4 linked regions of the Schizosaccharomyces pombe genome follow. The gene in region 3 interacts genetically with the main gene of each other region. Each region holds a gene or a part of one and is shown on either strand. Other genes may lie near its edges.

Evidence for each region.
Region 1: of sir2 (region 3) and clr3, changing one enhances a phenotype caused by changing the other (phenotypic enhancement), as found in Schizosaccharomyces pombe (3 studies listed by BioGRID, with this or other methods).
Region 2: of sir2 (region 3) and lem2, changing one enhances a phenotype caused by changing the other (phenotypic enhancement), as found in Schizosaccharomyces pombe (one study listed by BioGRID).
Region 4: mutations in sir2 (region 3) and cid12 together harm fitness more than expected from each alone (negative genetic interaction), as found in Schizosaccharomyces pombe (3 studies listed by BioGRID, with this or other methods).

The regions. Positions count from the first base shown.
Region 1 is NC_003423.3:252,751-257,681, reverse strand, and holds clr3 (class 2 histone deacetylase Clr3), read right to left. Parts: upstream 2,997-4,931; 5' UTR 2,861-2,996; coding exon 797-2,860; 3' UTR 544-796; downstream 1-543. Other genes in the region: cell cycle transcriptional repressor Whi5, read right to left, coding at 3,698-4,372, 4,451-4,534. UniProt on the Schizosaccharomyces pombe protein: Responsible for the deacetylation of lysine residues on the N-terminal part of the core histones (H2A, H2B, H3 and H4).
Region 2 is NC_003424.3:2,232,249-2,237,287, forward strand, and holds lem2 (LEM domain nuclear inner membrane protein Heh1/Lem2), read left to right. Parts: upstream 1-2,029; 5' UTR 2,030-2,349; coding exon 2,350-4,416; 3' UTR 4,417-4,525; downstream 4,526-5,039. Other genes in the region: protein Edc1, read right to left, coding at 901-1,839; RNA polymerase I general transcription inititation factor subunit Rrn3, read right to left, coding at 4,748-5,039. UniProt on the Schizosaccharomyces pombe protein: Nucleus inner membrane protein involved in meiosis. Plays a role in regulating nuclear envelope (NE) morphology and nuclear integrity, particularly during spindle pole body (SPB) extrusion or insertion through the NE, and perhaps during karyokinesis.
Region 3 is NC_003423.3:3,608,693-3,613,322, forward strand, and holds sir2 (histone deacetylase, Sirtuin family, NAD-dependent Sir2), read right to left. Parts: upstream 2,995-4,630; 5' UTR 2,865-2,994; coding exon 2,681-2,864; exon of another isoform or gene 2,518-2,680; coding exon 2,455-2,517; exon of another isoform or gene 2,418-2,454; intron 2,414-2,417; coding exon 2,331-2,413; intron 2,201-2,330; coding exon 2,169-2,200; exon of another isoform or gene 2,084-2,168; coding exon 1,647-2,083; exon of another isoform or gene 1,583-1,646; coding exon 954-1,582; 3' UTR 525-953; downstream 1-524. Other genes in the region: plasma membrane ZIP zinc transmembrane transporter Zrt1, read left to right, coding at 1-424; heat shock protein Hsp104, read right to left, coding at 3,667-4,630. UniProt on the Schizosaccharomyces pombe protein: Involved in silencing within the mating-type region, at the telomeres, and according to PubMed:12867036 also within centromeric DNA regions.
Region 4 is NC_003421.2:1,653,908-1,660,598, reverse strand, and holds cid12 (poly(A) polymerase Cid12), read right to left. Parts: upstream 4,954-6,691; 5' UTR 4,931-4,953; coding exon 3,920-4,930; 3' UTR 3,518-3,919; coding exon of another isoform or gene 3,083-3,517; 3' UTR 2,969-3,082; coding exon of another isoform or gene 2,054-2,968; 3' UTR 1,965-2,053; coding exon of another isoform or gene 816-1,964; 3' UTR 519-815; downstream 1-518. Other genes in the region: SPOM_SPCC663.15C (uncharacterized protein), read left to right, coding at 1-317; trp663 (TRP-like ion channel protein), read left to right, coding at 816-1,964, 2,054-2,968; NatA N-acetyltransferase subunit Naa50, read left to right, coding at 3,083-3,517; splicing-associated factor Saf1, read right to left, coding at 5,887-6,691. UniProt on the Schizosaccharomyces pombe protein: Has a role in the RNA interference (RNAi) pathway which is important for heterochromatin formation and accurate chromosome segregation.

The sequences.
Region 1 (4,931 bases), 3.4 Mb from region 3:
TAATATAGGATCAAGTCGTTTTATTAAAAAAAAAAAAAGCCAGCCTTCCTTAATAGTAAAGTTGCTACATTTACAATTACTGTTGACCGGTTATCATTCATGCAATTTGGATTAGTTAAAAAAGTTGAACATCACAGAATCATCCATCATTCATGAAGGTCGTACTGGGAATCGAACCCAGGTCTCGAGAATCAGAATCTCACGTGCTAACCATTACACCATACAACCAAATCAATTTTTTTGTGTGATATAGTTATTAATATTGGAGAATAAGAAAACAATTTAAATGCTGTTTGTACTATGAATCTAATTTTACAATTTAAACAACATACTATAATATTATCCTTTTGCGGTACAAAAAATGGATGAGGGATTTCCCTCAGCTTTAGAGAAATGCTTTTAAGCAAAATTACGACAAAAATCAACAATAGTTGTTTGAACTAAAATAATATCACGGATTTGAGGAGCTTTATTTTATAAAACAATATTATAACCTTATTTATTTAATTATATTGAACATGAATAAAATGAAGCCAGCAATAACAATAAACCATTTGTGTATACATTCTACTGGAAAATAAAGTCAAAATCCACCAACCTTGAGAATAATGAGCTCGAATTAAAGTATAAGTAAAAGAGACAAAGCAGCTTAGCAGATTGAGTACGAATCATTCAGCGGGTTTGGCAAATCATGAATGTCCGTTATAAATTTTAACGTAGATAACTTAAGGAGGTTAAATGTGTGACAATTAAAAGAATAGAAAACCATGAAAAAATCATAAGTCAATAACGAATGTTACTGAGAAGTTGGTCGGGCCTTTTGAAGCAAATGCAGCAAGTATTGAGTAACCGCTCGATAGTGTTGCTCCATCATGTCCGAAGTTTCAGTATGTTCACTTTGCATAAGTCGTCCATATCTTCTTTTAGCACGCTTTGCCTTTTTCCAGCACTCATTACTAGAACTCACAAACACGAGTGAATGACGATAATACCACGTTGGAAGATCTTCCTCTGATGCCGTTTTAAGACCCACCAAAGGTTCAGTGCCAAGGAAATTCACCATACACTTAACTCTGTCTGACACATTCCTGGAAGATGCCAAATTAACCAATCCATGTACCGCTTTGCCTCCACCGATGAAAAAAATATTTTTTGAAATCGACAACTCAACATAATTATCCCATACATAAAGACAAAGTTCTTTCACTTCAGAAAGAATGTCAACCGGTGCATTTTCACCGTCCGTAACCACTTCAGGTATATTTATGTCGATAAGCCCCCAGTCCTGTTGCATAGCCCATTCAACATAAAGGCTCACGGGATCTACTAAAAGCGAATCATTTAAATTCAAAACGTTCGTTTCACTAGTTCCATTACCCAGGACTCTAGGAGATTCATGGACAATAACGAGAAGGTTATCTTTTTGAAAGAAATTGCTAGAGCACAGTACTTGATTGTTGAATACATTGGAAACGGAATCCCTTAGTATTGGCATATTGGTAATTTTCCAGTCTTCGAAAAGTTTTTTAGCTTGATAAGTTCGAATAACATCATGTAATCGATCTACATGGGCATCCTTAGGATTTGCGTCGAAGTGTTTCGGCCTCATACATCTCCAGTATTGGGATTGTATTTTGGTTACATGGTTGATGGTAGCAACGGCCTGTGGACATGCATATGTTGTATGCAATCGTCCAGGAGGAATTCCCAACAAACTTTGGGCTACAGCTAAGGCTGATGTGCTTATAGAATCCAAATTATAACCTCCCTCAAGGGAGATAAAAACTTTCCCATCTGCTAATCCCATTAACATTTGTGTCATATGAGCATAGGCAGCTGGAGTTAACAAGAATTGACCAATGTGATCTCCTGCAGCAGCATCAAAGCCGCAACTTACAATAACTAAATCTGGATCAAATTCATAAGCAACAGGCATTACGACGCGCTGAAAAGCGTATATATAATCACCATCTCCCATGCCAGCACAACTCCAAGGAATATTTACAGTTCTACCCAATCCCGGGCCCTCTCCACAATTTTCTGCACACCCATAATTGGTGCCAGGATAGAAACGACCATTTTCATATCGATGCAAAGAAACGTATAGAACATTTGGATCGTCATAAAAAGCCATTTGCGTACCATTTCCATGGTGTATATCCCAGTCGACAATCAATACTCTTTTTATTTTATCCGGAAAGCGTTGTAGCATACTCCTTGCGGTTACAGAAACATTGTTGAATAAACAAAAGCCACCAGGTTTATGGGGTTCTGCATGATGGCCAGGAGGGCGAACAACTGCGAAGGCATTTTTTACTTGACCAGTTACGACAGCCGTACATGTTTCAATTGCGCTACCACAAGCCAATCGAGCACAAAACGCACTTTCGTTATTATAGTATAGAGAATCACTGATTTTTTCGAGATTGGCCAAATCCTCATGAGACATTTTTTCGGTATTAGTAACCCTATCATACATTTCCTGTGAATGAACTTGTAATAACTCTTCTAAAGTAGCTTCTCTAGCCGGAATCCGTAAAAATACATCTGACGGACTCGGCACATTAGATACATAACCGGCCTTCTTTATAGCTTCAAAAACACGAAGGACGCGTCTTGGATCTTCAGGATGGTCATCCACTTCACTTAGAGTGGCATGGAATCTCATTCGAGGATCATAGCATAATCCAGATTTTTTCAAGATTTGCGACATTTCATGGGATTCGTTATTTAATGTATTTTCACTTCCAGACATTGGTTTATTGTTTGTCAAAAGAATAGACCATGGAGTTACCGTGTTTACAGCATCATCGGATGGTTTTACAGAAGTAGATGCACCATCAGAATTAGAGGCCAGCATTCGTTTTCTATCGCCCTTAAAAAGGTCAATCAATTAATAAATTAATAAAAAAATCTCCTATTAAACAACTCCCTCATAAAACTGTCGAAACACTTTTTGAAGCGCGGCTCACTCGATATAGGTAGTTTTGGTCGTCAAAACTGTTGCTGGTACTTCTAAGACATAAGTATAGAGGAGCAATGAGAGAATATAATCTCAACCATGCTAACAAAGGAGTTTGTTTGGTAAAGAATAAAAATGTAAGTAATTAAGACGTTTAGTAAGGCTTTAAATAGAAGATTGATCCTGAACGTATGGAGATTGAGAAAAAATAGAGTTTGTAATGAGGCTCATGGGAGGGTCTTATTTTTATTTATTTATTTATTTTATTTTCTTAGAAACTTAAAAATAGCTTTGTCTCGAGCCATACTTCGAAATGAATGCATAATTTTGCGAGTTCGCGAATTTCCATTATCTTATATAATAATCATTTCAAATCATAAGGATCAAGATGTAGGAAGAACGTTAATAAATACATGGTAAATAATGTTTCTATGATCTTTAAGACTGTTGTACGCCCGGAAACATTCACCCTTTGTCATAAACATCATTAAGCATTATCACAATTTGGCTTGTACATATCAAGCATTTAAACATATAGAGGGTTAATAGCTCATCAACCATAGGACTGGAGACGGATAGCAAGAAATAACAAAACTTCTCAAACGAGATTTTTCCAAAAATTCTTCAGCAGGATGTGAACAATCAATCTATTCATCCAAATTATAGATTAACTCTCATGAAATAATTATGTAATTTTATATCTTAATGCTCGTATACCATCTAAAATGAAGGATGTTATGGTTTTTTCGAAGGCATAGAATTCACCAACGTAAGCATAACTTCAGCTGCCTTGCAATCATCTGCCGATAGGGGATAAGCCGTTGGAAAAGGAAGACTCGTGGACTTGCGAATTCTACTGAGGTTTGCAGTGCCAAGGCGAAGAGACTCATCGGTTTCTTCAGGGCGTGAAATATGGTAATTCATTCCGAACAGTGGAGATTTAGCTGAAGCAGTGGAGGCATGGCTAAGTTCAAATGGCAGTCTGGGTAGCTCAGTATGAGGCTCAACGTAGTTCAACCAAGGAGGACTAGTTCTATCAAAAGACGAGGACGTAGAAGAAACAGCACTAGAAGATGAGTAAGGAGATACAGGCTTCTTATAAGGAAGCTGAGCGAAGCCCTCTCTTGGGCTCACCAATCGCGTAAATGAACTTGCACGCAGCTTGCCTGTATTCGATCCCATAATTGAGTTGGGGTGATGCGGCCTTCTTAGCTTAGAAGAGTCCAAGTCATTGATCGAGCGTGATCTACGATGAACGTGATTTTCCTTACGAACAAGCGTTTCCACTTGATCTAATGTCTGATCTTCCCATCCATGATCGACCTTAAAAAACGCTGCCTTCAAACGAGCCCTAAGTTTGTTTGATAACTTGTATTCAAAAGTTAATGACAATTCGCAACGATTTTTATGCTAAACCAAAATTATTCATCGACGATTCTATTTGTATCGTCGAGATGTTACCTAATTGTGTTTGCGTAATTGACATACCTTGCTTAATGATTCATCGTATTTTTGTTGAATAACTTCATCAGTCTGCCTTGTAGCTTCATTTTTCTTGTGGCCGCCTGCCATGAATTAATATTTGTTGAGTTCGTCTGTATGCAGGTATATAAAAATGACGAGTTATTAGCCTATTCGAATTCTCCTTTCGATAAATTCCTTTTATAATATCCAATTGCAATCAAATAATCCTCCGTATAGCATATAATTGTTTCAATTGAAACAAGACGCGTTGAACGATGTGTTGGTAAGTCGAAAGTCGCGCCTGCCCGTACAAACGATTGAAAAAAGCAACAGGCAGAACACCAGAATTATCAAGTAACAAAACACTCTACCATACAAACAATAAAAACATAAGATTATCAGCCAAAGTTACATGAATATACTGATGTCGGTTATATGCAATTTACTTGGTACCTTTGTCTTTTTGTAAACACCGTTTTCGTCGATGAGAAGTTGCAAATAGACC
Region 2 (5,039 bases), on a different chromosome or scaffold from region 3:
CACATAAATATCACTTATATTAGCAAACATCATGTATATCATGGACGAAAGTTTAAAAGGTTGGCAACCAAAGCCAAGTTCATGAGAGGAAAAGAAGATTATAACTATAATCCTCGACACAGGAAAATAAGATGTACTGTCATCGCAAAGCAATAGGCAACACGTCAGTAATAATTAGGAAAATTAAAAGAAAAAAACACAAGAGAAAAAAATGTACGAGACCGGTGAAACAAGTTTCAAACAAATCTCGATAAAAGCACAACGAGATTATTAATAGCATAATAAAAACTAGCCAGAATAAAATTAATGCAATATGCAGATCATAACACCCAACGCTCATAAAAAAGGTAACAAATGCCCATTCTAAGCATACAAATCGAAAAGTAAACGAGGCACATTTTCGATAAATAGTCATTGACGAACATTTCCATATTATAAATGAATTGCTCGCTCAATTAACTAACAAGGAATAAGATGAAGTTAAGGAAATCTAGTCAATAAAAATCAAGATTTCAAATCCAAGAAATCCATTAAAAACGTTGGCATTTCTTTTAACTATAAGCCGTTAGAAAAGGAATTCAGTAGCTTTTGTATGAAATCCTCTAAAAACCAAAAGCGAAGGAAACAAAATTAACCCATATAGAGAGCTAAATTCTATAATCCAAAAAAACAGAAAGACAGAGGTACATAGGGTGATAGTAAGAAAGTCATAATACTAGCAAAAATACTAGACTATGATAAATTCTCTTGGCCAATGTTCAAATAAATAGTGCTACAACGAACACGTGTAGATAAACGCGGAGACGAAAGAAGGTGAAACAAAAAAGTGGAATAGTTAGAACAGAACACGAGGCTTAAAAAGGTGATATGTCCTTAGACATAAATAAGCATCCAATGAAACTATGCACTTCCTTGACGCAGCATACGGAACAAGCGCTGTTCACGATCGCGATGAAACAATAAGTCTAGGGCAGAAGTAGAATGACAATGAATGCCGTTATTAGGGGAATTCAAAGTAGGGGTAATGTTACCAGTGGGATGGCCGGCAGCATTGAAGTGATTAAAAGAAGGAGTGGAAGCTGAATAGTTAGTATGAGGAGAATTGTGTCCACTGTAAAATCCATTCGTCTGTTGAATACTCTGCAATGAGGGATCGTTACGAGACATCGGACAAAAATTATGACCCATGGCAACTTCGGATGGGGTTGAAGGAACAGAGGAAGATTGATGAAACTGGAAAGGCATGTTTGAGTTCACACTACCAGTAGGAGGTTGCCATTCAGCCTTTTCGGAAACGGGAGAGTGTAAGAACGTAGGGATGGGAAGATTAGAAGCGGCCGGAGAATGAGTAAATGTAGGACCGGCGTAAAGAATGGAATTAGTATCGGAAGAGGAATTCGAAGAAAAAGATCGATCAGCACCGGAAGAATTGGAAACGTAAGAAGATACAGACTTCAAATGAGAATCAACTTCTCCGACGGCAACCTTATCAATTCCTAAGCCAGCAGGAGCCGAAGCAACACCAGAAGGAAGGTGGGAATTAGAATTGCCACCTGAGATACGAGAGCCAGCATACGAACTGTGACCAGATTTAGAGCGTCGATTCCCGCGTACTTTATCGCCATTTCGCTTACCATTGCTTTCACCAATGTTAGAAGTAGCAAAAGTACTCTTGGGTTTCACAAAGTTAGGTATCTGGAGATTACCATCTCGTTGGGGCATAATCGACATTCCATCTAAACTGAACTCGACATCGCTGGAAGCAACCATTGCTCCGCCCGGTTTAGAATTAATTTTCTTCTTATTACGTTGAAATCTACGTCCAATGTCTTTTTGCATTTTTTACTATAGTCAAAATTCGAGTAATCCCTAATGATCATGGATTCTGTATTCTTAGTGATTGATGTTGGTTAAGGATAACTTCGGGGGCAACACTCTTACCCAATATACGTTATTTGGGCTGAGGTGACACAAAGCAATGAGCTGCGCTATGCCTCCTTATAGAGCTTTCTTCCCTTAACCATTATTTGCCACCCACTTTAACTGGCAAAAAGAAAGAAGGAAAACAAAGATTCGGCACAAAGATAGAGAAATAAGAAATTGCTTTACCTTCGTTTAGTGAAGTCTTTTATTAAATTTGAAAAGGTGTGTTTGAACAGTGGAATTCAAGCAATTTCCTAAGTATATTATAGCTCATTGCTGTAATATTATAAATTTGTATGGGATTGCAATTACGTTCACGAATCAGCAACTTATGCCAGGTTTCCTTTTTAATGTAGATAAGGATTCATGTAATTAACTAGCTTATATCAGCTTTATACCATTTTTGATCAGTTTGAATTATTCACCATGGACAATTGGGAGGACCCTAACTTCGAATTGCGAAATCTTCGTGTCATAGACTTGAAAAAGATCCTTCATGAATCGGGAGTGTCATTCCCTGTGAATGCCAGAAAAATAGAGTATATTAGGATGGTGGATAGAATACGGAAAAACAAATTAAGCTCTGGTCCACAACATTTATTGTCTCATCTTCAAAAAGAGGAAAACTCTAACACCTCAAAAGCGTCTAGCTCCGAGGATGAAATAGCTCCTAAATACCTTTATCCCTCCTCTCCTTCCAAAAGCACGAAAAAGCCACACAACGAAACAGAACCGCTTCTGTCTCCACAATTCATTGACAAACCTAGCAACATTGAAACCCCGGTTAAAATAGAGTCTCCGCACGTCTCTCAAAATAATACCTTTCAGTCCTATTCTGAATTGAGCCCTAATGTGGAAACATCGCTGACTATGAAAACTCCGCCAGCCCACGCGTCTACACCAAAATTTCGCTCGCATAAATCTCATAGGGTAGCTGTTCCTATGTCATTTATGGATAGCTCTGCTTTACATACTTCGCCAGCATTTTCGGAGAGGTTAAAGCTGCTTTCATCTTCAAACAATTTTTCTCCACAATTGAGGTCTCCCAAAATATCACATCGTCTACAAACTTCAGCCACTTCTAGTCCTCTTCAACATAAACGACCCTTTACTAATGTTCCTGAGCGAGTCTCTCGAGATATCGAGTTTGCTCCTCTTGACAGTGCAAGGCCCTCTGAATCTTCATCGCCTTATTCTGAAGTAGACTCTGCTGAGGAAGATGACGAGCTTTTTCAAAATTACGTTTTGCAGCAGACTCGAAAAGAAAGCAAACTTTGGTCGTTTATTAAAAAAGTATTTCACGACATTAAGTACGCCAATTATCGTCTTCTTCACAATTTGCGCGCCTTTCCTGGAATCAGCGCGATATCTTCTTCTTATTTAGTGCATATTTTTATGATTTTATTAGGAGTGGTGGCAGCAATTTTTCTGGCTTTATTACGGGAGAAAATGTTTACAGCAGGATTCTGTGATTCGGGTGCCAGTGGAAGTTCTGCTTCAATTCTTGGAATAAGTTTTCCATCATTGTGTAGAACTTGCCCTCCGAATGCAATATGTCCCTCTCCAAATTACGTTGAATGCAAGCCCGGATATGTCCTCTACGAACCATGGTATTCAAGTTTAGGATTTTGGCCCTCCAAGTATTGCGTTAGTGATACTTCTAGAGAAGAAAGTGTTAATATTTTTCGTGAAGAATGTTTAAGTGTATTAAGATCCTGGAATGCAATTTTGCATTGTAGCAATAACTCGTCAGATTTGCTGGAACGAAATATGTCGTACAATGCGCACCCTTATGTCGCCGATAATCTTAATATATCATCTGATCATATCTCCTTCCCATCAAAACCATTTGCGTTAGGATTATTACATGATACGCTTCTTGAAAGAAAATCTCCAACCCTTGGCCTTGAAATGTTTGAGGACTTATTTAAAGCTTCTTTGGCAGTACTTTCTGAAACGAATGAAGTTGTCATGGATTCAAAATTAATTTGCTACGATAGCTGGGCAGGTATTCCTTTGCGGTGTCGTTTAAAACAGCAACTGATAAAATTTGTTTGGAGGAACAAAGTTTTTTTATTTGGAATCCTTGCGTTGTCAGGAGTTATTTTTAAGCTCATCAATTTTTTTCGTACTCGCAGTATCGTAGCAAAGTATCTACCATCGGCTTCTCGATTCTGTGTAGAATCTTTGAAGAGACAGAAAGCAAATTATCAAATGTCTCGATCTCAAGAACCCGTTATACCACTAATCGAAATGCATGATATACTCTTTCATGGAAATGGCCCATTGGAACAAATTCATATGACGAAAGCAACTGCTCGAACTCTTTGGGAAGCAATAGTCGAACGTGTTGAACAAGTTGGCAGTGTAAGAACTCGTGAATCAGAAGTAGACGGCGAATGGACCCGTGTATGGGAGTGGGTCGGCACAAATACTTTGGATTTCCAAACCGATCGTTCATTTATTAATACAACTTCCCCTTTACGTGAATAATGATTCTCGACTGTATTTCTAGCTTTGTATTTATGACATTTTTCATAGCTAATACAAAAGTAAGTTAATAATATATTTATCTGAATGCTTATACATATTAAAAATGAAACATAAAATTGGTATAATGAGGACTTGTTTGCAAGGTTGATGAAATTTAACTGTATTTCTTATATTAATGTGATTCTTAGTTATACCAAATAAATTATTTTAAAATAAAAACCAAAACCAGTACCATTTTTGATTGAATATGGGCATGTCTAGAGTAAGAAATTAGCGGAGAAAAAATAGGACATGTCACATAGAAAGGGTATTTAAAAAAAAATAAAGGAATTCAAAAGGGAGATTCACCCAACATTACGGTTGAAGATTCGTAGTCTGTGTCTTCTTCTTCCTCGTCATCATCCAAACCTGGAATTTGTTGCCATTCGTTATAAAATGGTTGAACAATTATAGAAGACTTCGTAAGCCGGTAAGGATCAAAGGGAAAATAGGCATCCATAGTGTCGAACCCTTCTCTAAAAATTCCTTTTCTGTTTTGCTCAATAATGGAATAGACGTACATAAAATTGAGATGATTTGCAACCTTTGCAAATTGAAGTACAATATTGGGGGAACAGTATCTC
Region 3 (4,630 bases):
CGGTCTTACAACTGCCGTCTCAGGTGAAGAATTTAAAACTTTATTTCCCGTCATTATTTTCCATCAGGCCTTTGAAGGTTGTGGTTTAGGTTCTCGTTTGGCGGGAATGGCCTGGGGCCCAAAAACTGCATGGGTACCTTGGGTGTTGGGCGTTATCTATTCGTTGGTTACGCCTATTGGTATGGCAGCTGGTTTAGGTGTTCGTGAGCATTGGGATCCTCTTGCTCATGGGTCTTATGCTGCCCAAGGTGTTTTGGATGCTATCTCATCTGGAATTTTGGTTTATGCTGGTTTAGTGGAATTACTTGCACACGATTTCTTATTTAGTCCTGAAAGAGAACGTAACTGGTATAAGCTTATTTACCTTTTGGCATGCTCGATGGCTGGTACTGGAGTTATGGCTTTGTTAGGTAAATGGGCTTGATTTGGTGGCTTTTTCGATGATCCGTGCATTTTATATTCTTCATTAAATCTGTTTTCTTCTTTTGAGTTTGAGTGTCAATATCGTTGACCAATTTCTAATTGTCCGTTTTCAGTTGTTTCTCTTTAGTATCGTACAATTAGATGCTTCATTGGTTGTATTGATATGTACCAATCAATCTTTCAATTTTAAATAATAATTGTGTCATTTTCACTGATTTACTATGCTTAAAAAAGTAGCTAATTTTGCATAGCCTATGAATGTAATTTGCTTCAATGTTCATTTACTAATTACACAGTCCTTGGTATTGTAAAATGTATTATAACTTGTTTTAATGTGTTTTCACCCAGTTTAGCAGATTTAAACATTAGGTGCGAAGAGAAAAAACAGTTTTTAACAATGGCACTTACAAAACTAAGAAGTCTCAAACGGATAATAAGTTAATGTCCAATAATCTGGCTCTCATACTCGATATATGTATATAATATATTTGCTTCTACATTCAACTTCGATAGATCGATCAGTCCTAAAATTAACAACTACCGTTTGTTGTGCTCGTGATATGATAGGTGCTGGGCTCCTCAAATTTTATATCCAAATCCGTTTCGAAAGCTCGCGTTTTGGAACCACTATGACACTCAGGTAAATCGCAAAGCGCTTGTAATTCATTCAGCCATCCAGCACGTTTACAAATCTCCACAATAACCCAATCACAATAAGGACTTAGAAAATTTACATCGAATTGGGTATGACGAACAGGAGTCCTCGAAATGTAAATCTGAGGAGTAGTAGGAGGAATAACACTGATGAGTTCTGAAACAGGAGCCACTTTTAAAGAAGTTCCAATACAAATTAATAAATCAGTCTCTTCAAGCTCACCACTCCCGACTTTGTTAAAGAAAGAATCCGGTAAGGCTTCCCCAAAAAATGTGATATCAGGTTTCATAATCCCAGGTTGAGCTAGATCATCTTCAGAAGATTCACTATCACCATCTGAAAAATAATGTTTCTCTTTTTTATTTTGACCGACTCTTCTTAATTTTAAGGGTGGTTTTCCGCATTCATTGCAGTAAGAAACTCTTTGATTTCTTATGTCTTCATATAACTCCGATCCATCCACCTTGTGCTTGCATTTGATACAAGTTGCGGTAGCAAAAGACCCTATATAATCAAATTAGACAAAATCACCAGTGCTCGAGATGCAAATCGGAAAATAAATACTTACCATGACATTGAATAATTTTGTTATCGGAGAGTCCAGTCTTTTTTTCCAAATTGTCTATATTTTGGGTAAACAATGTTGATAATTTATTCTTCTTTTCAAGCAATCTAATGAAGGCATGCGAGGGGGAATAATGATTCGTCTCCGGCAAAAGATCTCTAGCAAAAGTATAAAAAATTTCTGGATTTTCTCTAAACGTATGGATATCAAACATTTCAGAAGGTTCCGATAATCCATGGCGTGCCAAACGGGCATAAAAACCATTGTCTGAACGGAAATCTAAAATTCCCAAACTTGTACTTATGCCTGCCCCAACAAGGACGACAACATTTTTAGCTTTTTTCAATAAATTAACAACATCTTCAAAGGTATTAAAATGTGGAAGTTTGATTCTCCTAGCAACCTCACGTTTTAAAACTTCCTTCAGCAAAGGAAGTAAACTAATTAGCACGTTAGTATATCGATAGCAGATATTTTAAAAAATAAAAGATAAAAAGATAAGAAGGAAGTTAAAGAAAAGCATACTCTATGTCTTCAAACTCTTCAAGTGCACTAGGCTATTTACGTTAATAAATCTAGGTAAAGTCATAAGAAAACAAAACATGCAGTAGACCAAATTATTATTGCAATTTAACAAAAATAATCTGCTAATTTAATGTAATGCAAGTTATAAATCAGTAAGCATACCAAATTGATTCCAAGTTTTTTTAAAATCGATCGTACAGGCAACTCTTCTTCTATTAAATATTTCTCCAAGAATTTCGCATAGCCTACAAATACTAGTTAAAATGTAAATTAAGTAACTCCTTACCTGAAGCCCTTAAATATCTGACCATTTCGGATCGTTCATCCAAATCACTTATGTTTTCTGTTTCTAAGGAATCGTTAACTTTTTAAATAATTAAAATAAACTAAAGTATATGAAAAGCACATAGCTAACCTGAACTCAAAATCGTTGATCAATTGTAAATTTTGTAAATTCAAATAGACTTGCGCGTACCCTTGAAGGTATTGGAGTTAATAGTTGATATTCATACCTGGTTTATCCCATTCATCAGAATCAACCTCTTCATCCTCAGTTTCTTTACTGCCGCACATAATATCTACTAGTAAACTAGCACCGGAACTACTACCAGAAGAGCTAGGAGAATAACTAGCGACTGGAATTTTTTCCTCAACGGGAGTCGTCGGCATATTATTATCTAGCGGATTGGAAGCCATGACAGAGTTTGTATAACATGAAAATATGACTAATCAATTATTTTTAAGGAAGTATAAATTAAAGCTTCGTTTGAGAAAGGCAATGATCTACTGAACTGAAGATCTCTGGTTCAACTTTTCGATAAGTCTTATTACAATTACGAAAAGCTAGTCTCTTGTTTAGTGCAGTAAAGTTTCGTTAGCTTAATGGTATGCGGGCAACTGTGATCTCGTTATTTCCTGGTAATAATGGCTATTAGAAGCAAAGCACTGTATAAGTTTAACTATACAACTTGTTAATTTAAACGTTGCTTTGAACCATGAGAACTGGAATGCGTATTAGTATGCAATGCGCAAGTGTAGAAAGTAATGAAATGATATGATAGTGATTTACCAAATGTTAAAGTTAATCATGTAAATTCAATTTAAAATCTACTAAAAGTATGAGAGCTAATTCTGCTTTGATTTTATAAGGAATTACGAGCACTTTCTTACAAGCTCGACTTTCTTGAATGGACTGCATTAATTAATACCTACTAAAATAAATGGAGGTTTTTCGTAAATAACAATGGATTATTTGATAAATTTAAGATTCAATGTTTCATCATACTTGAATTGCTAATAACTAAAAACGATGTACTTAGCTTTTGTTAAATTGATTCTATCTATTCGATAAAGTTCATTGAACATTTTAATGAGAAAACAGTACTTCCTAAAAAGTTTATATACTATATTTTTATAAATAAATAAAATATATTAAGATTAAGCATATCATTAAACTATATCATAAAGTATCGTTAGAACTTTCTCATTTGAAATACATTTATTCCAATTCTTCATCATTAACATCGTCGTCAATACCATCCATGTCAATATCAGCAGAGCCGTTTGCATTAGCTTCATGATTTGGTTTGACAAATATCTTGCCATTTTGGACTACGACATGAGCAGTCTCCTTATCGCGAAGCTGGCCATTCAAAATTAAGACAGCCATGGGATTCAAAACTTGATTTTGAATGACACGGTTCAAAGGTCTTGCACCATAAGCAGGGGAATAACCAGCGCTTCCAAGAAGGTCTTTAGCTTCGTCGCTAACCTCGATTTTAATTGAGCGATGATTGGATTGAAGCCGTTTCTGAACCTCTAATATACGATTTTCGACAATATTGCGGATATCCACACGACGCAGACGATTAAAGATAACGATTGAAGAGATACGATTCAAAAATTCGGGACGGAAGAAGCCACGAATCGAGTTCATAACCATTTCCCGAGTGGTACTATCTATCTTTCCATCATCAGACTCATTGTCTGTTGTCAAGTATTCAGCGCCCAAGTTAGAAGTCATAATGATAACAGCATTCTTGGCATCAACAACCTGGCCTTGGCCACTAGTGATACGTCCATCATCTAGTACCTGCAAAAGTACAGTCAATACTTCTGGAGCAGCCTTTTCAATCTCGTCAAACAAGATGACGGAGTAAGGTCGTCGACGAAGTTGTTCAGTAAGCTGTCCACCAGCTTCATGTCCAACATAACCGGGTGGTGCTCCAATGAGACGTGAAACAGAGTGTTTTTCCATGTATTCAGACATGTCAATACGAATCATTGCATTTTCATCATCAAACATAAATGATGCCAATGCCTTTGTCAATAAAGTCTTACCAGTACCGGAAGGACCGCAAAACAAGAAAGATGCGATTGGTTGATTAGGATCAGAAAGACCAGCACGAGATAAGCGAATGGCGTTTGCAACTGCAGTAACTGCTTCATTTTGACCAATTACT
Region 4 (6,691 bases), on a different chromosome or scaffold from region 3:
AAGAGACAAAACATCAAGTTTTGGAAGAAATTGGTGATTATGTGAAGGAACTTGATGAAGAAAGCAAGAAGGCTATTGAGAATAAAGATAGTACTAGTGAATGGCTTTTACATCTTTATAACTTCTTTGGGTCCGCAATTATTACACCCACTACAGCTCATGGAGTACCGCAGCCACAACTTCCAAATTGTGGAATGAAATTAAATAGAACTAAAGAGAAGCTGCTGACTCCTTTTCGAAATCTTTTAATGGAGCAACTCAACGAATTACAAGCGAAAAATCAAGAAACGCCTTCAGAAATGACTTCAACAGAATAATTTTATTACTAATTGAGGTCCAAAACATAATGACATAAAATCAAGTGAGGCTCGCACATTCCATCATTTCTTCTCACAACTACAAATGAAATGAAAATGCATTTCTTTTTTTTATTCTTTACTAATGATACATTCTTTACCATTATATTGCTTTTTTCATAGTGTAAAATTGTGAGCGTAAGAACAATGCTAAGATGGTGGTAACTAAATAAACGAAGCCACGTTCTGTATTCTTTTTCGTAAAAATCTTAAAGCTTCAATCGTTTCATTACTATTTATTTAATCCTTGTATTTAACTCAATGCTATGGTTGTTAAAAAATACGACTGCTATTTCGTAAACATTACAGTCAAATTACGGCATTTGAGTTCAGTAGCATGTTTTTGTTATTCGTGATAGTTTGGTAATTCTGAGGAAAGTTCATTTTAATTTTTTTTGCATTCGTTCCAAAGTTAAACCCTCTACATAACTGGAAGGGGGATGTTAATGGAAAATGAAAATGAAGCTAATACTCTTAGCTTACTTTGCAGTTTTAAGTAATATCTTATCGTCAGTGGAAGGTCGAGTAAGATATAGTAAGAGACCAAATCACAAACTTGGAACAGCCGAGTACGCAGAATGCATGTCAAATGCCCCGATAGTGTTTAATCGGTTTGATGCAAGTTATTATACACGAAACTTGTCAGTAGTCTTTAATATTCTTGGATATTCATCTGTGGACGCAAATGTTACGTTTGATATTATAGTTGAAGCTTATGGAGAGCAGAGGGCAAGATTTACTTTCGACCCTTGTGAAATAAATCTTAATACTGTGTGCCCAGTTGCAAGAGATACAGCTATAACCACACAGGGAATACTTCCAGTGAGCCCTCAAGATGTTCAGATGATCCCAAAAATTGCCTGGGGAATTCCTGATTTTGAAGGCTTAGTGCGTTTTCGCATGTATCGCTCAGAAGACATCGCAGCGTCATCCATCGATAATTCTACACCACTTGCGTGCATGATCGCGACACTTAATAATGGTCATACGTTTAAAAATAAAGTCGTAAAAGCTCTAAGTGGAACTGCTTTGGCATTGAGTATAGCAGGCGTCTTAGGCTTTTATGTAATTGGAATGGAGCATAGCACCTATCTGACACGTCAGGTTTTCATCAATTCCGTTCCTTCTTTGCAGCACATGGGAGAGCTACTTCAATGTATAGCTTTCACGGGAGCAATTGGAATTACACAGCCAAAAGTGCTAGTCGCATGGGCTAGTAATTTTGCATGGATTCTAGGATTTATTACCAATAAAGAGATAGAAAACAGCCTTGAGTCTTTTAGAAAGCATTCCAATGGAAACCTAAGTTCTCCAAAGATAGGTGGAGTCCATCGAAGAGATGCTGTTGCAACAAACCCTCAAAGCCCGATTCCTGGATTTTACCATGGGTTTCAAGGCCTAGCCACCGAAGTTGGAACGCTAACAACGAATTTATTTACACTCACTTTAATATGGTTTTTGATTTCTTTGGCCATAGCAGGAGGAATCGTTATAATATTCGTACTTATTATTAAGTTTCTTCGTCAGACACGTATAATCGCAAAATCTTCATGCGATTATATCACAAGGTATTGGTTTAGAGTACTTTTTAATGCTTGTATGAGATGGGTAAGTTAATTGAACAAAGGAATGAGTTGTTCATACATAGCTCTTAACGACTTTTTTGCTTTATACTTATACTAATCTGGTTGATATAGGTGTTGGTTTGTTGGCCTGTATTGGTAACTATGATAATTTACCAGTTTACACTTAGGGAAGCATATGGCCCTGTAATATTGGCGGCTTTGCTTCTGGCACTGCTTTTTGGGCTTTTCCTTTGGTTAACTATCAAAGTCATAAGAGTGATAACAACGTCAGGCTTGAGTAACGAGGACAATCCAGAAACATTGATAAGCGATCCAAAAATATACACATGGTGGGGATGGTTATATTTGGATTTAAAAGAACGGCGATGGCTCTATGTTTACGCCTGCTTTGCACATTATTTTAGTTTTGCATTGGTTTTAGCGTTAGTACAACAGTTTGCGAAGATTCAAACTATACTTCTATTTGTTATTGAAATCATCTCTTTTATATTGCTAGCAGTGTTTCGGCCTTTTGTTGGTTTCAAAAATTCCTTTTGCGTCTTTTTGGTTGCTCTCACCCGAGTGGTTTCCTTTGCTCTTCTCATACCGATAGCATTTGATTTAGCAATCATTCCGAAAGTGATCATTGCAATCATTCTTATCATTATACAAGGGCTGGTATTTTCATTTATGGCCCTGTGGAGCCTTTGGAACTTCATTACTATGCTAGGTACAGCATGGCCAGCCATTAGCTACACAGTCCCTTGGCTTAGAAGATTAATAGATGAATATCAAAGACAACTTCATATTGACTTTGAGAATCCTGCGGTTTCTGCAAGTGAAAAGCTATCCACCGAAGAGATTATCCCACAAGAATCAAATTTTGAAGAGCCCTCTACCACAAAGAAAGAAGGAAACGTAGACACAAAGGAAGATGGAAATGACGATGTCTTCAGCCTTGTTAACGCTTCTCCTATGCGACCAGCATCTACAATACCTTCACATTCATGTGACAACGGGATTAATGAAATGCAGCGTACTGTTTAAAGATTTTATCGTGGATGTTTCCAACTCAAACTATTGCATTAGAATGCCTTAAAGACTGAAAGTTGACAACACCAAGTACATATAGAAAAAGATATTTGCATTTGCATAAAAAAGATGATTGAACTTGATGCGATTAACCCTAATAATCTGAAAATCCTTGAAGTTATTAACGAAAAGTGTTTTGATCCTGAAATCATTATATTTCCAACCTCCTTTTACAAAGACACAATCTCAGTCGGGCCTTTAGCACAATATGCGTACTTTAACCAGGTCTGCGTAGGAGCTGTTAGATGCAAAAAAGAAACACATAATAAATCGCACAAAATCCAAATTTTATCTTTGGCAGTTTTGCCAGCCTATCGAAACCGTTCTATTGGTACCAAGCTGTTGGAATATGCTTGCGAGACTGCAGCTGAGGGAAAAGCCAAAGAAATTTACATTAAATTAAGCCCTAAACTCGATGTATCCGAATGGTTTATTCATCGGGGATTCATTATTGATGAGAGCTCCAAAACAGAAGATAGCGTCCTTCTTTCGAAAAAGCTATAGATTGCACACACATTTATTAATCTAAGTGAAATGCAATTATTAAATTGACTTGAAAATCTAACATGGATCCTTGGATAGATTTTAAAAGAATAAAATAGATTTAATTTTGAAATTTTTAAAGAACAGATTTTGTTAGCACCTTCAATAGGTACAAAATGTGATATCATTTGAAACAGCCGAACCTTGCCTAAGTAAAATTAAAAGACTTGAAAATGACTAAGATAATTGTAGGATTCTTATATCCTATCAATAATAAGAATATGAATCCATTCAATTAAACAAGAGTAAAGTACATACGAACTGTAGTGAAACATTACCACATGCGGCAAGACAACTTAGGAATTGAAAAACAAATGTTTATTTAAACAGCGAGCATTATTTTTTAAATGCATTAACCCGCAGTTATCCGCCAGCTTGTAATTCATCTGATTCCGTATCACTATCATATCCCTCCACCAAACTTCGTTTAGTATTTATAACATTTTCAAACTGTTTACACAAAAACATTTCATCTTCCGTAATTGCAAAGGTGCTAAACCATGTCTTATCGGATAATAATTCATTAGCTGAAGCAACAAATGCAGCTTTAATCATACTAATTTGAAATGATTGCTTTCCAATGTCGTTATTTCTGTCAATTGGATCTTCAATAGATAGCAAATTTGGTTGCACTTCGTTTAACCAGCCCTTTTGTAGCTTAGGAACTATTTGACCGGTTAAAGGTCTCAATACAAAAAGTTCGTATGTCCATTCGACTCCCCAAAAATAGAAGAATTTCTGTAGTAAAGCTCGAATTGGTTGCACTTCCGAATCAATTCCCTTTTTGTGAAATCGCATTTCAAGCCAACCAATTAGCATATAAGAGAGCGCGCAACTTGCAATCCCGCCATGATGAACGTTTTCCAAATCTCTTTCAAACAACCAGTGCTTCAATAGCATCAGCAATCTACCAAAAATTGGGTGTTCTTCGTTATAAGCTTTTTGCAATTCAGCAGTTCTGCAAGCTTTGTCATTTCCAAACGTCAAATCCACCCCAATTCCACTAACATCTACTAAATTGATGCGAGGGACTCTGGCACTAGAATGGAAATCAGCATCAGCATCCAAGTACTTTCTTAAAACCATGGTGACGCGTCGTTTCTCCAATTCTCCAACTCGAGGTGACTTCAAAGATACGTCTACATCACTTATAGATAATGTTGTTCCAATATACATGCTACCGTATACTTGAAGTTCAGCATCCAAAACGACCTCCCTAATGTGAGTCTGTAGTTTCTCTAACAAAAGCTTTCTGTACTTCAATTCCTCGATTTTCGGGCTTACGAACTCCAAAAATGAATAAAGTCGAGCATTATCACTCAAACCTTCTTCATTCCATGGTACTGAATGCAGCTCTAACAGGACTTTACCCATTCTTAAGAAATGGCATTTTGGCTAATTTTAATATCAATGGATTCAATTTCATGGCTCCTCGCACATAACGAGGTCGTGCGAGTGCCTTGTAATTATATGTAAATAAATCATTTTATAGCAAAAAAAAGTATCACGAGTTTTTAATCAATAAATAACTTATTTGTTTTTATAAATAATAGAATGATTGACTGCAAAAGCTTCCTAGTCTCATACAGCATTTATAGCGAAAACCAAAGATTATGAACCCAAGAAAAGCAAGCAAAAGATAGATAAGTACTCCCTCATCTCTCATTGTGCAAATTTTAACTTAAGCATGTGTATTTCGATTTTTAAAGGTTTCCTTTATGATATTTTTATTTGATAAACGAATTCGTTGGTTTACGCATGTAAATACTGTCATGGCGTCTAAATACATATGAAAATAAAATAAAATTAATCCAAGTAATTAGTCATGTACTTCTTTCTTTTTGGTAATCTGATTCGTAATGAACAGTGTAGGACTAAGTGTAACAATCATAATTTAGCAAAAGACAAATTCACAAAAAACAGTCAACTTGAAATAATCACGGAAAGATGAATATAAGGTGTTTTTTTGAAATCCCCTTTCGCTCAAGCAGTGTAAAAGTGACTATAATAAGGAATTATTGAACCAAGAAAACATTAATAAATATCATGCAATAACACAGAAACAAAATCTCCTTTGTTTTTTTTGGACATCAAAAATTTGAAATTATTGACCGCATCATAATAATAAGCCTTTGAATTAACTTATGAAAGCTCACTCATAATTGAATAAAACAAAAAAACAAGTACAGAGATGCAATCAAGCTCCTTTAAAATTGAACCTAGTAAACAGATATTATATATAAATTAATATGCATGTTTATTAACTAAAAATTCCGTCTACACCCATTTGGTAATCCTTACTTCCAATCTCCATAATTTTAACGACTTTTTTATAGATATCCGCCAATTTCTTTGTAGAAATTATCTATTTCTTCATCCTTGTCTTCCTGAACTTGGCTCGATACATCCCTGTCTGGCTGTCCAATTTTCTGCCCCTTGGCTAGTTTTTGTCGTTGAAACGCAGCAGGTAAAAATTGAGCAGCTTCTTGTCGTAAATCTCTGACTACCGGCTGAGCTGAGTACTCAATCATAGTTTCCTCTTCAATGTCCTTCGTATTTGCAGCAGCTTCTGTCGTAGTAGTGGATTTTGGTTGTGCTGAACTTGCATTTATGTCTTGCTTTTTGTGGTGCTTTGGCTTAAAGCTCTTATTTTTCTTTTCCCTTGGCTTTGGATCCTCAAAAGGATATTCTTCAGAAGGTAAAGGTATATCAATAACGGATTCATCTGTTTCTGAACTTAGTTCTTCCTTCTCACGATAAGGCATTCCTGGCGGCGGAACTCCGTAAGGATTAAATATTGGATCATAATATATACTTCGTTTTGGGTTTTTAGGGATAAAAGGCTTTCTAGGTTTATGTTGACGTTCTGCCTCCTTAGTCTTGTCTGACTCAACACGCCCAACTCTATGTCCATGAATGTTTTTCTTCTTCATAATTGCCATATCTCTTTGCAAATTTTGTAATAATTGCTTGTCATGTGCATTTAAAGCTTGCGAAGATTCTAATTGTGTCAGCTCTGATAATTGGCGTTCCATTTGGCTCATATTCCTATGCGACAGTCGTTCTTCATGGCGTTTTGCTCTTTCTTCTCGCACTTTAATTTGTTCTCTTTTTTTCTTCTTTCTGCTCTCCGCT